4 linked regions of the Saccharomyces cerevisiae S288C genome follow. Changing the gene in region 1 together with any one later gene gives a genetic interaction. Each region holds a gene or a part of one and is shown in the gene's direction. Other genes may lie near its edges.

What was found.
Region 2: mutations in CRD1 (region 1) and UPS2 are lethal when combined (synthetic lethality), as found in Saccharomyces cerevisiae (4 studies listed by BioGRID, with this or other methods).
Region 3: mutations in CRD1 (region 1) and APQ12 together harm fitness more than expected from each alone (negative genetic interaction), as found in Saccharomyces cerevisiae (2 studies listed by BioGRID).
Region 4: mutations in CRD1 (region 1) and PAM16 together harm fitness more than expected from each alone (negative genetic interaction), as found in Saccharomyces cerevisiae (3 studies listed by BioGRID, with this or other methods).

The regions. Positions count from the first base shown.
Region 1 is NC_001136.10:201,203-204,427, reverse strand, and holds CRD1 (cardiolipin synthase), read left to right. Parts: upstream 1-1,857; coding exon 1,858-2,709; downstream 2,710-3,225. Other genes in the region: biotin--[acetyl-CoA-carboxylase] ligase BPL1, read right to left, coding at 1-1,389; chaperonin-containing T-complex subunit CCT4, read right to left, coding at 2,846-3,225. UniProt on the Saccharomyces cerevisiae protein: Catalyzes the synthesis of cardiolipin (CL) (diphosphatidylglycerol) by specifically transferring a phosphatidyl group from CDP-diacylglycerol to phosphatidylglycerol (PG).
Region 2 is NC_001144.5:498,999-502,237, reverse strand, and holds UPS2 (Ups2p), read left to right. Parts: upstream 1-1,967; coding exon 1,968-2,660; downstream 2,661-3,239. Other genes in the region: DPH5 (diphthine synthase), read left to right, coding at 76-978; APS1 (Aps1p), read left to right, coding at 1,189-1,659; ubiquitin-40S ribosomal protein eS31 RPS31 fusion protein, read right to left, coding at 2,833-3,239. UniProt on the Saccharomyces cerevisiae protein: Required for mitochondrial cristae morphogenesis and MGM1-processing. Controls the stability of mitochondrial phosphatidylethanolamine (PE). With UPS1, controls the level of cardiolipin in mitochondria.
Region 3 is NC_001141.2:275,803-278,693, forward strand, and holds APQ12 (Apq12p), read left to right. Parts: upstream 1-1,920; coding exon 1,921-2,337; downstream 2,338-2,891. Other genes in the region: protein kinase PKP1, read right to left, coding at 1-490; GVP36 (Gvp36p), read left to right, coding at 723-1,703; TED1 (Ted1p), read left to right, coding at 2,624-2,891. UniProt on the Saccharomyces cerevisiae protein: Involved in the regulation of lipid homeostasis in the endoplasmic reticulum, thereby impacting nuclear pore complex biogenesis and localization, and nucleocytoplasmic mRNA transport.
Region 4 is NC_001142.9:225,744-228,330, forward strand, and holds PAM16 (import motor complex subunit PAM16), read left to right. Parts: upstream 1-1,583; coding exon 1,584-2,033; downstream 2,034-2,587. Other genes in the region: SET4 (Set4p), read left to right, coding at 1-994. UniProt on the Saccharomyces cerevisiae protein: Essential component of the PAM complex, a complex required for the translocation of transit peptide-containing proteins from the inner membrane into the mitochondrial matrix in an ATP-dependent manner.

The DNA.
Region 1 (3,225 bases):
ATACTGGACAAAAACAACTGATATATTTCGATTAGTCACAGGCGATTGAAGCGGCATTGTTACGACGGCCGTTGATGCGCAAACACCTTTAGGATTAATCCAAGTGTTACCACCTCTCCCACGCCCAGAAACCTGAATAGTACCCACGTGAAGTAAAGTGCTTTCAGGGATCGAACTTAATAAGGATTTATTATTATTCAATATGGTACTCGTTGATGTAACAACTTCACCATATAGAAGTAAAGAACCTATGGTGTTTTGAACATTCAGATACTTGAAGTATTCTTTCATGTCAAAATTGGGCGTATATTGAAATGGTGGAATATCTTCATCTACGCCAGGAAATATTACGGTCTTAGGAACCTCATCTGGCTCTTTATGAAGCAAGGACGAACTTGCTGCATCGTAAGAGGCTCTATAGCCTCTATAAAATTGGAAAGAGTCAGTTTCGGCGTTTAATTCTGAGCAGAGTTCAACATTATTTGCATGCATTCCATGATGAGCTAAGTTGTTTTCCATTTCTTGCAAGTAATTCCGCTTATTAGGTGCACTAGCCATAAACAGTGGTGTCAAATTTGGAGCTCTTACATAATTGAAGTCATTATTACAATTCAACCCAGTTTTGGTAAGAACCGTTCTCATAAATTTCAACCTCATGATTTCCTGTGCTTTCAGGTTTTCCACAACGGTTTCAAGAAAATGCTTATCTGTGGATTTCCTCATAAAACGGACGTTGAATTCAGGGTGTGGTCCAGTGAGTAAAACCTTTCCTCTTCCGACCGTACATAGCACTACAGCAGCTGGGTTTTCACTTTGACCTTTTCCTGAGTCAGAAGAAGGCACATCCGGGTGTTCTGCGTACGTGGCCAAGATCTCGACATTATCAAATTTATCTGCATCAACAAAAACGGCTCCTCCATTGAAATAAGTTGAGAACTGTGAGCCATCTGGAAGATTCAATTTAACTGCACGTGCACCGGCCTCGCTGTTATACTGAAATCCATTGTACGCAGGTCCTCTGCTTGTTCCCGGAAAGAATCGCAAATCCCTGCTTCCTGATACTTCCATTGTAGGGTCACCTTGAGCAAATTCTACACGGCTGGTGCCAAAGTAACCTCCTGCACAAAATCCGATAAAGACACCACCTTGTTTGCTAACAAAATGTTTCAATCGAGAAATAATGGGTTGACAAGCTTGAACGTAAGGAAGATCGGCACCACCAGGAAAAACTACAGCGGAGGTCTTTGACATCCATGGTTCTGTCTGTAATACCTTAACATTGACAGTACTGACGGCGTAATAGGGTTCCAAAAAGTCACGTAAACTTTCAACAGCATGCTTAACTGATCCTGGCGTAGTCCCTGGGCCATTATAGACTAATACATTCATATTAGTTGAAATTGGATAATATTGATAAGATCGTTCTAATATCTTCTTTATTGGAACTCTGAACCTGTAACAACCAGTAAAAACCTTGCACTTTTGTATACCAAACAACTTTTGAGAACAATATATTACAGCAAAAGAAAAACTGACGAAGGGAGAAGGAAAGTAAAATATACTTATATGTGCGTTTACCCAACGTTTGGCAAACAATTACAGGAAGAAAAAGCCAAGTCCGTAGCTCTGGGATCTCTTACATGAAACCATATTAAATGTCAACCAACACTTCACAGTCATGTCTTCGAATCATTGTGCGGCGACTATTTCCGAAACTGGAGTGTGAAAAAGCTCGATTCATGAAGCCATCCTCTTAATCGGGAGTATACAATATTTACAATTGAAAAAATATAGAAAGGAGGCAATTGAGAAACAAGCAGGCCTGGTAGCATAGTTTGGTCCCTAATAATTTAGTCAATGATTCAAATGGTGCCCATTTATTCATGCTCCGCATTACTTCGGAGAACTATACCGAAAAGGCCATTCTATCATGTGTTATCAGGGTTAACTGTACGCTTTAAGGTAAACCCGCAATTAAATTACAATCTTTTCAGAGATCTCACTAGGAGGGAATATGCTACCAATCCGAGTAAAACTCCTCATATAAAGAGCAAGTTGCTCAATATTCCCAACATTTTGACTTTATCACGAATAGGATGTACACCCTTTATCGGACTCTTCATTATAACGAATAATTTGACCCCAGCATTAGGTTTGTTTGCATTTTCCAGCATCACTGATTTTATGGATGGGTATATAGCAAGAAAATACGGCCTGAAAACCATTGCAGGAACCATATTAGATCCACTTGCAGATAAACTACTCATGATCACAACAACTTTGGCATTATCTGTACCATCCGGCCCTCAGATTATACCGGTATCTATTGCGGCGATAATTCTGGGTAGAGATGTGCTACTAGCCATAAGTGCTTTGTTTATACGATATAGCACTTTAAAGTTGAAATATCCTGGTCGTGTGGCATGGAATTCCTATTGGGATATTGTTCGCTATCCCAGCGCTGAGGTCAGACCTTCCCAACTATCAAAATGGAACACGTTTTTCCAAATGGTATATCTTGGATCTGGAGTATTATTACTTTTATATGAGAAAGAAGAGGGCTGTGAAAAAACCGAGGAGGATTTCGAAGATAGAAAACAGGACTTTCAAAAGGCCTTTAGCTATTTAGGGTATGTAACCGCCACGACCACAATAATGAGCGGAGTATCCTACGCATTAAAGAGAAACGCTTTTAAACTTTTAAAATAGTATAATTGCGATCCTTTTTGAAAAGGGTCCTGACTTTTCATTTTGAATGTTTTTTAGTTTTTATGTAGTGGAAAATACACTAAATCAACATATATATGTATATATGCATAAACATATGGATACTGGGAAACCCATGTTAACGGCTGAATGCAATATCATCAATACGTAAGATGGATTTAACACATTCAGACGCTAAGGTAATTGCACTTGTACTAACAAGTACGGGTTGTAAGATGTGTTCTTCATAGGTGTTCGTAGTACCAGATCGTCTAACAGAGATACCGTCATTCAATTCACCATTTTCATGCTTAGAGCGCAATTCTGTGACAACTTTGATACTATTCAAACCTGCGTTTTCAGCCAAAGTCGTTGGAATAACTTCCAAAGCAGAGGCAAATTCTTGCCAAATAAAAGCCTGTACACCTTCCATAGACCTTGCTTCCTTACTCAACCTACGGGATATTTCAATTTCTGGAGCACCACCACCAGCGATTAAACCTCTCTCTTTCACTAGAC
Region 2 (3,239 bases), on another chromosome or scaffold:
TGAAATTTTTTTCTGGTGGTTGTTAGCAAAGTAAAAACGAACAGGATATAGAGTGAATAAAGGACAGTGAGAAAAATGCTTTATTTGATCGGACTTGGTCTCTCGTACAAATCAGACATTACCGTTCGTGGTTTGGAAGCTATTAAGAAATGTTCTAGAGTTTATCTAGAACACTATACCAGTATCCTAATGGCTGCAAGCCAAGAAGAGTTAGAATCTTACTATGGTAAAGAGATCATCTTGGCTGATAGGGAATTAGTTGAGACTGGTTCTAAGCAGATCCTAAATAACGCCGATAAGGAAGACGTTGCTTTCTTGGTCGTGGGCGATCCATTTGGTGCCACCACACACACAGATTTAGTTCTCAGAGCTAAACGTGAGGCAATTCCCGTCGAAATTATTCATAATGCGTCCGTTATGAATGCAGTTGGGGCATGTGGCCTACAACTATACAATTTCGGTCAAACCGTTTCCATGGTTTTCTTTACCGATAATTGGAGACCAGACTCATGGTACGACAAGATCTGGGAAAATAGAAAAATTGGCCTTCATACTTTAGTGTTATTGGACATCAAAGTTAAGGAACAAAGCATTGAAAATATGGCCCGTGGCAGACTAATCTACGAACCACCAAGATACATGTCTATCGCTCAATGTTGTGAACAATTATTAGAAATTGAAGAGAAAAGAGGTACAAAGGCATACACTCCTGATACTCCAGCAGTCGCAATTAGTAGATTAGGCTCGAGCTCCCAAAGCTTTAAGTCTGGTACCATAAGTGAGTTAGCCAATTACGATTCAGGAGAGCCACTTCATTCGCTTGTCATCCTCGGCAGACAATGTCATGAATTGGAGCTGGAATACCTGCTAGAGTTTGCCGACGACAAAGAAAAGTTTGGGAAAGATGTGGCAAATGACCAAGAGTACTTCAAACCTGCGGCATGGGTCCCACCCACAGAAGACGACAGCGACGAGTAAAGGTAATGCACACGCTCATGTGTAGTTTCTTTTTTATAATGTATATTGAATAGATCCTTTCAGTCGGGTAACAATTCGATCCCAAACGAATCGGGCCCTAACGATATGTGTAAAAATGGCAATGAATGAACAAGAAGTTATAACAACAATTTCAGCCAAGAACAAGAGCGATCCTGGAGGAGATTATATACGGATACACAGGTACACAAGATGACGCAATTAAAATATTTGTTGCTGGTTTCTAGGCAAGGAAAAATCAGATTAAAGAAATGGTACACGGCAATGTCCGCTGGTGAAAAGGCAAAAATTGTGAAAGACTTGACACCTACGATATTAGCAAGAAAACCCAAAATGTGTAACATCATCGAGTATAATGACCACAAAGTAGTATACAAGCGATATGCTAGTCTATATTTTATTGTTGGGATGACGCCCGATGTTGACAATGAACTGCTGACCTTGGAAATTATCCATCGGTTTGTCGAAACAATGGACACATATTTCGGCAATGTTTGTGAGCTAGACATTATATTTAACTTCAGTAAGGTCTACGATATCTTGAATGAGATGATTATGTGCGATGGCTCCATCGCAGAGAGCAGTAGGAAGGAAGTACTGCACCATGTGACCGTGATGGACACCATGGAGAGCAACGATAATCTTGAAAGGGTATTGAGTTAGGACCACTAAAAAACAATGGAATGAAGAAGAAAGGAGAAGAATAAGATGAGAAGGGGGCAAGGGGCCCTACTATTATTACCGTCTGTCGCAAAAGCCGTTGCCCGGACAAAAATATCTTTTGCGAGCATCGGCACAACGTTGATTGGTCAGAGCGGTAAAAAGGAATGAATGTGAAAAATGTAAAGAATATATAGGCGATAAAATTATCATGCGAAGTGATGTACATATTTTTGAATTTAAGCATCAATAGGACGAAAGAATAGATTTCAGACTAAGATAAAATAATCGAGAATAATTAAAAGACGATAATGAAATTGTTTCAAAACAGTTACGATTTCAACTATCCATGGGACCAGGTAACCGCCGCTAACTGGAAAAAATACCCAAATGAAATATCTACACATGTCATCGCAGTGGACGTTTTAAGAAGAGAATTGAAGGATCAAGGTAAGGTCTTAGTTACTGAACGGTTGATTACTGTAAAACAAGGTGTTCCCAAATGGATCATGATGATGCTAGGAGGGACCAATATGAGTCATGTCAGAGAAGTTTCTGTGGTAGACTTAAATAAAAAGAGCTTGACCATGAGAAGCTGTAATTTAACGATGTGCAATCTATTAAAAGTCTACGAAACTGTAACATATAGCCCGCATCCCGATGACTCGGCTAATAAAACACTTTTCCAGCAGGAAGCCCAAATTACAGCATATGGATCCATTAGAAAGCTGTGTAATAAGATGGAAGATTGGTCAGTTCAAAGGTTTTGCGAGAACGCTAAAAAGGGTAAAATGGGATTCGATGCTGTTTTGCAAGTATTTAGTGAAAATTGGGAAAAACATGTTGATGACTTGAGCAATCAACTTGTCAGTAAAGTCAATGAAACCATGGAGGATGTTAAAATATCTGCAGGTACGCTTCTTAAAGGAACTGAAAGGAGCGGCAGAACCATCTTACAGCAAAATATTGACTTGTTTAGAGACGCATACAACCACGAAAATTAGAGATACAAATTCCTTGATCCCGCATGGCACTGCATACTACTTATATTCCTCTACTGTCTATCTATTCATTTGTTCTTTTGTTGTAAATAGAAAAGTAAATAATGACAATATTAAAAGCCTTTTTCAAAATTTAACGATCAATTAAAATATATAAGTTTTAAAAATACTTTACTTAAGCGTTAACCTTGTAGACGGAATGACACTTACCACAGTACAATCTGTCCTTGTGGTTAGCCAAGAAAACACCAGCACCACAAGTTGGGTTGCTACATTCTCTTCTCAATTTGGTAACCTTACCTTCAGCATCGACCTTGTAGTAGGACAAGACAGCCAACTTGACCTTCTTGTGCTTGTGCTTGATCTTCTTTGGGGTGGTGTAGACCTTCTTCTTTCTCTTCTTACCACCACCTCTCAATCTCAAGACCAAGTGTAGAGTAGATTCCTTTTGGATGTTGTAGTCGGACAAAGTTCTACCATCTTCCAATTGCTTACCAGCAAAGATCAATCTTTGTTGGTCAGGTGGAATACCTTCCTTGTCTTGGATCTTGGACTTGACATTGTCAATAGTGTCAGAAGATT
Region 3 (2,891 bases), on another chromosome or scaffold:
ATTGGATTTCCTGAAGACCTTTTGCCAATACCACAATGGCGTCCTCGTGGTCGTCCAGCAGTTCTGTGAACTTGGCCTGTATCTTGGGAGGATTGTGCAACTCGTACGGGTATGCGATTGATAGCAACGTTTGCAAGCTTTTCAAATACAAAGAGTTGGTTCTCTCAATATGAGGGTTGATTACCGCATTATACGGTAGCCTCTGAATGGCATTAAGCCGTTTACACGTCAATGAAAGCAACAGGTTGATTGTCTTGATCGTCAGCATGTACTCCTCCTTCTTGGTCAGCGGCGGCCTGTATTGCAGGAAATACTCGTAGTTTAGGGGCGCAATTGGTTTACTAGCGTAGTCCTGTATCAGCAGCTCAATGTTCGACCTAATCTTGTAATGCTGGTCGAACGACAGTTGCGACAGCAGCTCGTGTGAGGGTCGCTGGCGATGTGCCCAGCGCATTCCCCCACATTTCCATGAACGCATAATCTTCCACATACTACCGTGAAGGCGTCTTGATACCACGTCTTCCAGTTATGGTCTTGACTCACCAATGTTCTCAGTTTAATGTTGTTTGCTTCATACTGGCAGACATTTTCCCTTATTACCGTGAGAAGCGAGCGGTGGATTAATCGGGATGTCAAAAACAAGAAAATTGCAACCTTCTTCACCTATAACCTATATGATTTGTAGGCAGAGGAGTGGAATAAGCAACAAATCATAGTCATCAATGTCGTTTAATGCCTTCGCCAGCTCTTTGAGCAAGAAATTACAGGAAATATCCACAAGTGTTTCCGAAAAAACCCAGGAATTGCCCAGTTTGGCGCAATCCACCCAAAGAATGGTCCAGGAACGTTTGGGCCAGGTGACGGACATCTCCCAATTGCCAAGAGAGTACACAGAGCTGGAAGATAAGGTTGACACCATCAAACTGATTTACAACCACTTCTTGGGTGTAACTGCTATCTACGAAAACGGATCGTACGATTACCCTAAATACATCAACGAATCCGTCAACGAGTTTTCAAGAAGCGTGGCTTCCAAGTTGACAGAGTTGACTCATGCTACATCTGCGTCTGAGGCACAAAACATCTTAGTTGCTCCAGGCCCCATCAAAGAACCCAAGACGTTGAACTACGCCCTCAGTAAAGTGGCTTTGAACTCCAGTGAATGTTTGAACAAGATGTTCCCCACCGAGGAACAACCCTTGGCTTCGGCACTCTTGCAATTCAGTGATGTGCAGGCTAAGATTGCTCAAGCTAGAATTCAACAAGATACCTTGATTCAAACCAAATTCAATAAAAATTTGAGGGAAAGGCTCTCTTTTGAGATCGGTAAGGCCGATAAGTGCCGCAAGGATGTCCATTCCATGAGATTAAGATATGACGTGGCAAGAACTAACTTGGCAAACAACAAGAAGCCAGAAAAGGAAGCTTCCTTGAGAGTCCAAATGGAGACTTTGGAAGACCAGTTTGCTCAAGTCACTGAAGACGCTACTGTGTGCTTGCAGGAGGTTATTTCTCACGCTAACTTCAGTGAAGATTTGAAGGAATTGGCCAAGGCTCAAGCTGAGTATTTTGAAACCTCGGCTGGCCTAATGAAAGAGTTCCTATCCAACTCATTTGCGGAAGAGCCGGAAGCAAAGCCTGAGGTTGCAGAAGAAGAAAAGCCACAGACAGCTATCTCTATGAATGACGAAGACGACGCTTAATAGCCGCCCTGTTCTTGTCTTTCTCTCTCCTTCTCTATATATATATATTTACTTAATACAATATCATATTCTCTAGTGTCGTACGAATATTATCATTTATTTGCTGGCTTTTGTAGTGAGTATATTTTTTGTAGAGAAAATATAATTACTGGAAGAGAAAAAGCTACTGAAAAAAATTTCGTAACAGTCACCAAAGGGCAAAGTGAGCAACCCAAAAATGGACGCTACTCAACCGCAATACGAACTATCCGTAGTAACACAATGCCTAAAGTCTGCCATTGACGTCATCCAATGGTTGATTCCTACTATTACTAAGTTCAGCCAATCACACCCGTTAGTTTTCCAACTATTGTTTATTTTCTTCACATTTTATGTCTTTTACAAGTTGTTGATGAACTTCATTACTCTGGTCAAAAGATTCCTGTATTTGACGTTGGTAGTAACATGTATCGGTATTTATATGCGTGGTTCGCAGCAGTTTTTGACTGTGGACCTGTTGAATTTCTACAATTTCGTCATGTCAAATAGATACTACGCATTTAAAATTTATACTCTGTTTATTAATGCCCTGGAAAGAGAAATCAACACTGTTTATCATTTGGCGCAGATGAAAATGGAACAGTTGCTTAAATAGAGCGAAACGCCTCTGCTTACTCGGAACATCTTAAAGTAATTACATATCTTAATTTCTAAATATTCATATAGATAAAGAACGTTTTTTTTGCTAGATTCCTCCCCTAGTCACTATCAAATATTGAGCTATTTTTGGTGACTTGTGTTTTCCAAATTATTCATTACAATTGTGACTTGATTTCTGAAGTTTTAAGAAAAATTGCAAACTAAGTTATTACAAGCGATTTATCCGGTCGCGATTGAAGAACTGAAAACAACAGCAGCAGCATTGTACCAAGAATCCCAAGATGCTCAGGTGTGCGGTCAAGAAGTTTGCATATTTTGCCACCTTCCTCACTATCGTCGCTAATATTTACATCTATACTTATCCATCTTTCCATCCAGAACAGTGTTCATGGAACTGCTCTAACAAGAACGCACCACTACAGAAAGATTTGACTTTTGTGGACAAAGTGAAGAATTACTTCAGTGATGTTCGAGAGCAATGGCATGGTAGCCATGCCTCTGCAGGTAACGATGAGGATATTCATATTTTGGCCTTCGGTGATCCTCAGA
Region 4 (2,587 bases), on another chromosome or scaffold:
GCGATTATTTCAATTTTCATCCATAGTGACAACTTCAGCATCGAACACAAATCAGCATCAACAGTCTGTGAATAACATAGAGGAACAGCCCAAGAAACGTCAACTTCATTATACCGCCCCAACAACTGAAAATAGCAATAGTATACGGAAAAAATTGAGGCAAGAAAAACTGGTAGTATCAAGCCACTTTCTGAAGCCACTACTGAATGAGGTAAGTTCTTCCAATGACACGGAATTCAAAGCAATAACAATATCAGAGTATAAGGACAAATATGTTAAGATGTTTATTGATAACCATTATGATGACGATTGGGTTGTTTGTTCTAACTGGGAAAGCTCAAGGTCAGCTGACATCGAGGTAAGAAAATCATCAAATGAAAGAGATTTTGGAGTCTTCGCTGCAGATTCTTGTGTTAAAGGTGAGCTAATTCAAGAATATTTGGGCAAAATTGATTTTCAAAAAAATTATCAGACAGATCCAAATAATGACTATCGTTTGATGGGAACGACAAAACCTAAAGTACTTTTTCATCCACATTGGCCTTTATATATAGACTCTCGAGAAACAGGCGGATTAACAAGATACATAAGACGGAGTTGTGAGCCCAATGTGGAACTAGTAACGGTAAGACCGCTTGACGAAAAACCAAGAGGAGATAATGATTGTAGAGTTAAATTTGTTTTAAGGGCTATAAGAGATATTCGTAAGGGAGAAGAGATAAGCGTAGAATGGCAATGGGATTTGAGAAATCCTATTTGGGAGATAATAAATGCATCTAAAGATTTGGATTCCCTACCGGATCCCGACAAGTTCTGGTTGATGGGGTCAATAAAGACTATTTTAACAAATTGTGATTGTGCATGTGGGTACTTGGGCCATAATTGTCCAATAACTAAAATCAAAAACTTTTCTGAAGAATTCATGAGGAATACGAAGGAATCCCTATCTAATAAATCTTACTTTAATACAATAATGCACAACTGTAAGCCATAAACGAAATTTTAAAATTAATAGTATTCATTTTAATCTTTTTTGAAAGCTTAATTTTATCATCATAATTTTTCTTCCAAAACTTCAATCTTGGTATTTTTTTTCGCATTGGTCTTCATTTTTTTTCTTTTGTTTTTAGCTTTAATGTTGAAAGCGTGAATATCAAAACACTTTTATAATAAATCACCACTTTGTAACTATAGAGAACAATTCATGCTTTATTTATAGATGCCACGATTAAGCATCAATCATTAGTTGAGAGGATCCTTAACGTTAAAATCCACCGCACTTTTCCTTTCAAAAAGCTGCATTGTTTCCATAATTCATTTCATGGCAGGTTAATGACTTATTTGATATGAAGAGTGAGGTTCTTATCAAATGAAATTCCTACATATGAATTTTTTAAAAGAGAGTTTTTCGTTTTACGATATTTATTTACTTCATCATCGTTTATCATTTTTCACGTAGCAAATTTTGAAGCTTCAACTTATAACTCATTTGCATCCGATTCACATATTTCAGCTGACTATAAATTTGGCAACAGCTTCGTGACTTGAGCATAAGAAAAACATAGACTTGTTGGATATAAAATATGGCTCACAGGGCTTTCATACAGGTTATAATCACAGGAACTCAAGTTTTTGGAAAAGCATTCGCCGAGGCGTATAGACAAGCGGCTTCACAATCAGTGAAACAAGGTGCTACAAATGCATCTAGAAGGGGAACAGGAAAAGGCGAATATGGTGGTATTACGTTGGATGAGAGTTGTAAAATTTTAAATATTGAAGAATCCAAGGGCGATTTAAACATGGACAAGATTAATAACAGGTTTAACTATCTATTTGAGGTTAACGATAAAGAAAAAGGTGGAAGCTTCTACTTACAGAGCAAAGTTTATCGAGCAGCAGAAAGGTTAAAATGGGAACTGGCTCAGAGAGAAAAAAATGCGAAGGCGAAAGCAGGGGACGCTTCAACAGCGAAACCTCCTCCGAATTCAACAAATTCATCTGGTGCAGATAATAGTGCAAGCAGCAATCAGTAGTCAAGGAAGCCTCCATCATTACGTCACAAGTGTTATCGAAAGCATGCAGCAGTGCATATATTTTCCTAGTTGGTTGCTTCCTGTACGTTAGGAATCTTCAACCACCATCCTTGTATTTAGTTAATATTAGTATATGTACCAAAGTAAATATACTCAGATGCCATCTCGATATACGCACCGTACACGAAAATGAAATTAAAAAAAAAATGTTGGAGCACAAGCAAGGCAGCATCAGAACGTACCGTCAGTTGGTACCAAGACAAGTCCATCCCCGTAGGCACTACAAATTATGGGAATGAGAAAGTATACAAAATATAAACTGTCTTATCATGAAGAAGAGTCGCTTAGGAATTTAAACTTTCAAATCGCATTACGCAATTCTCTAAAAACGCGAACCTTTCCCTGATATGTAATCAGGGAATTTCCTCAGAATAATATTCGATCTAAGAAACCGGAAACGAAATGAAAATTGTTACTACTTTGTTTAGGAGTAGTCAAAGTTCATTCAGCTATGGGTTATGATGAAATGATTTAAATTATTCTCGCTCCAGTAT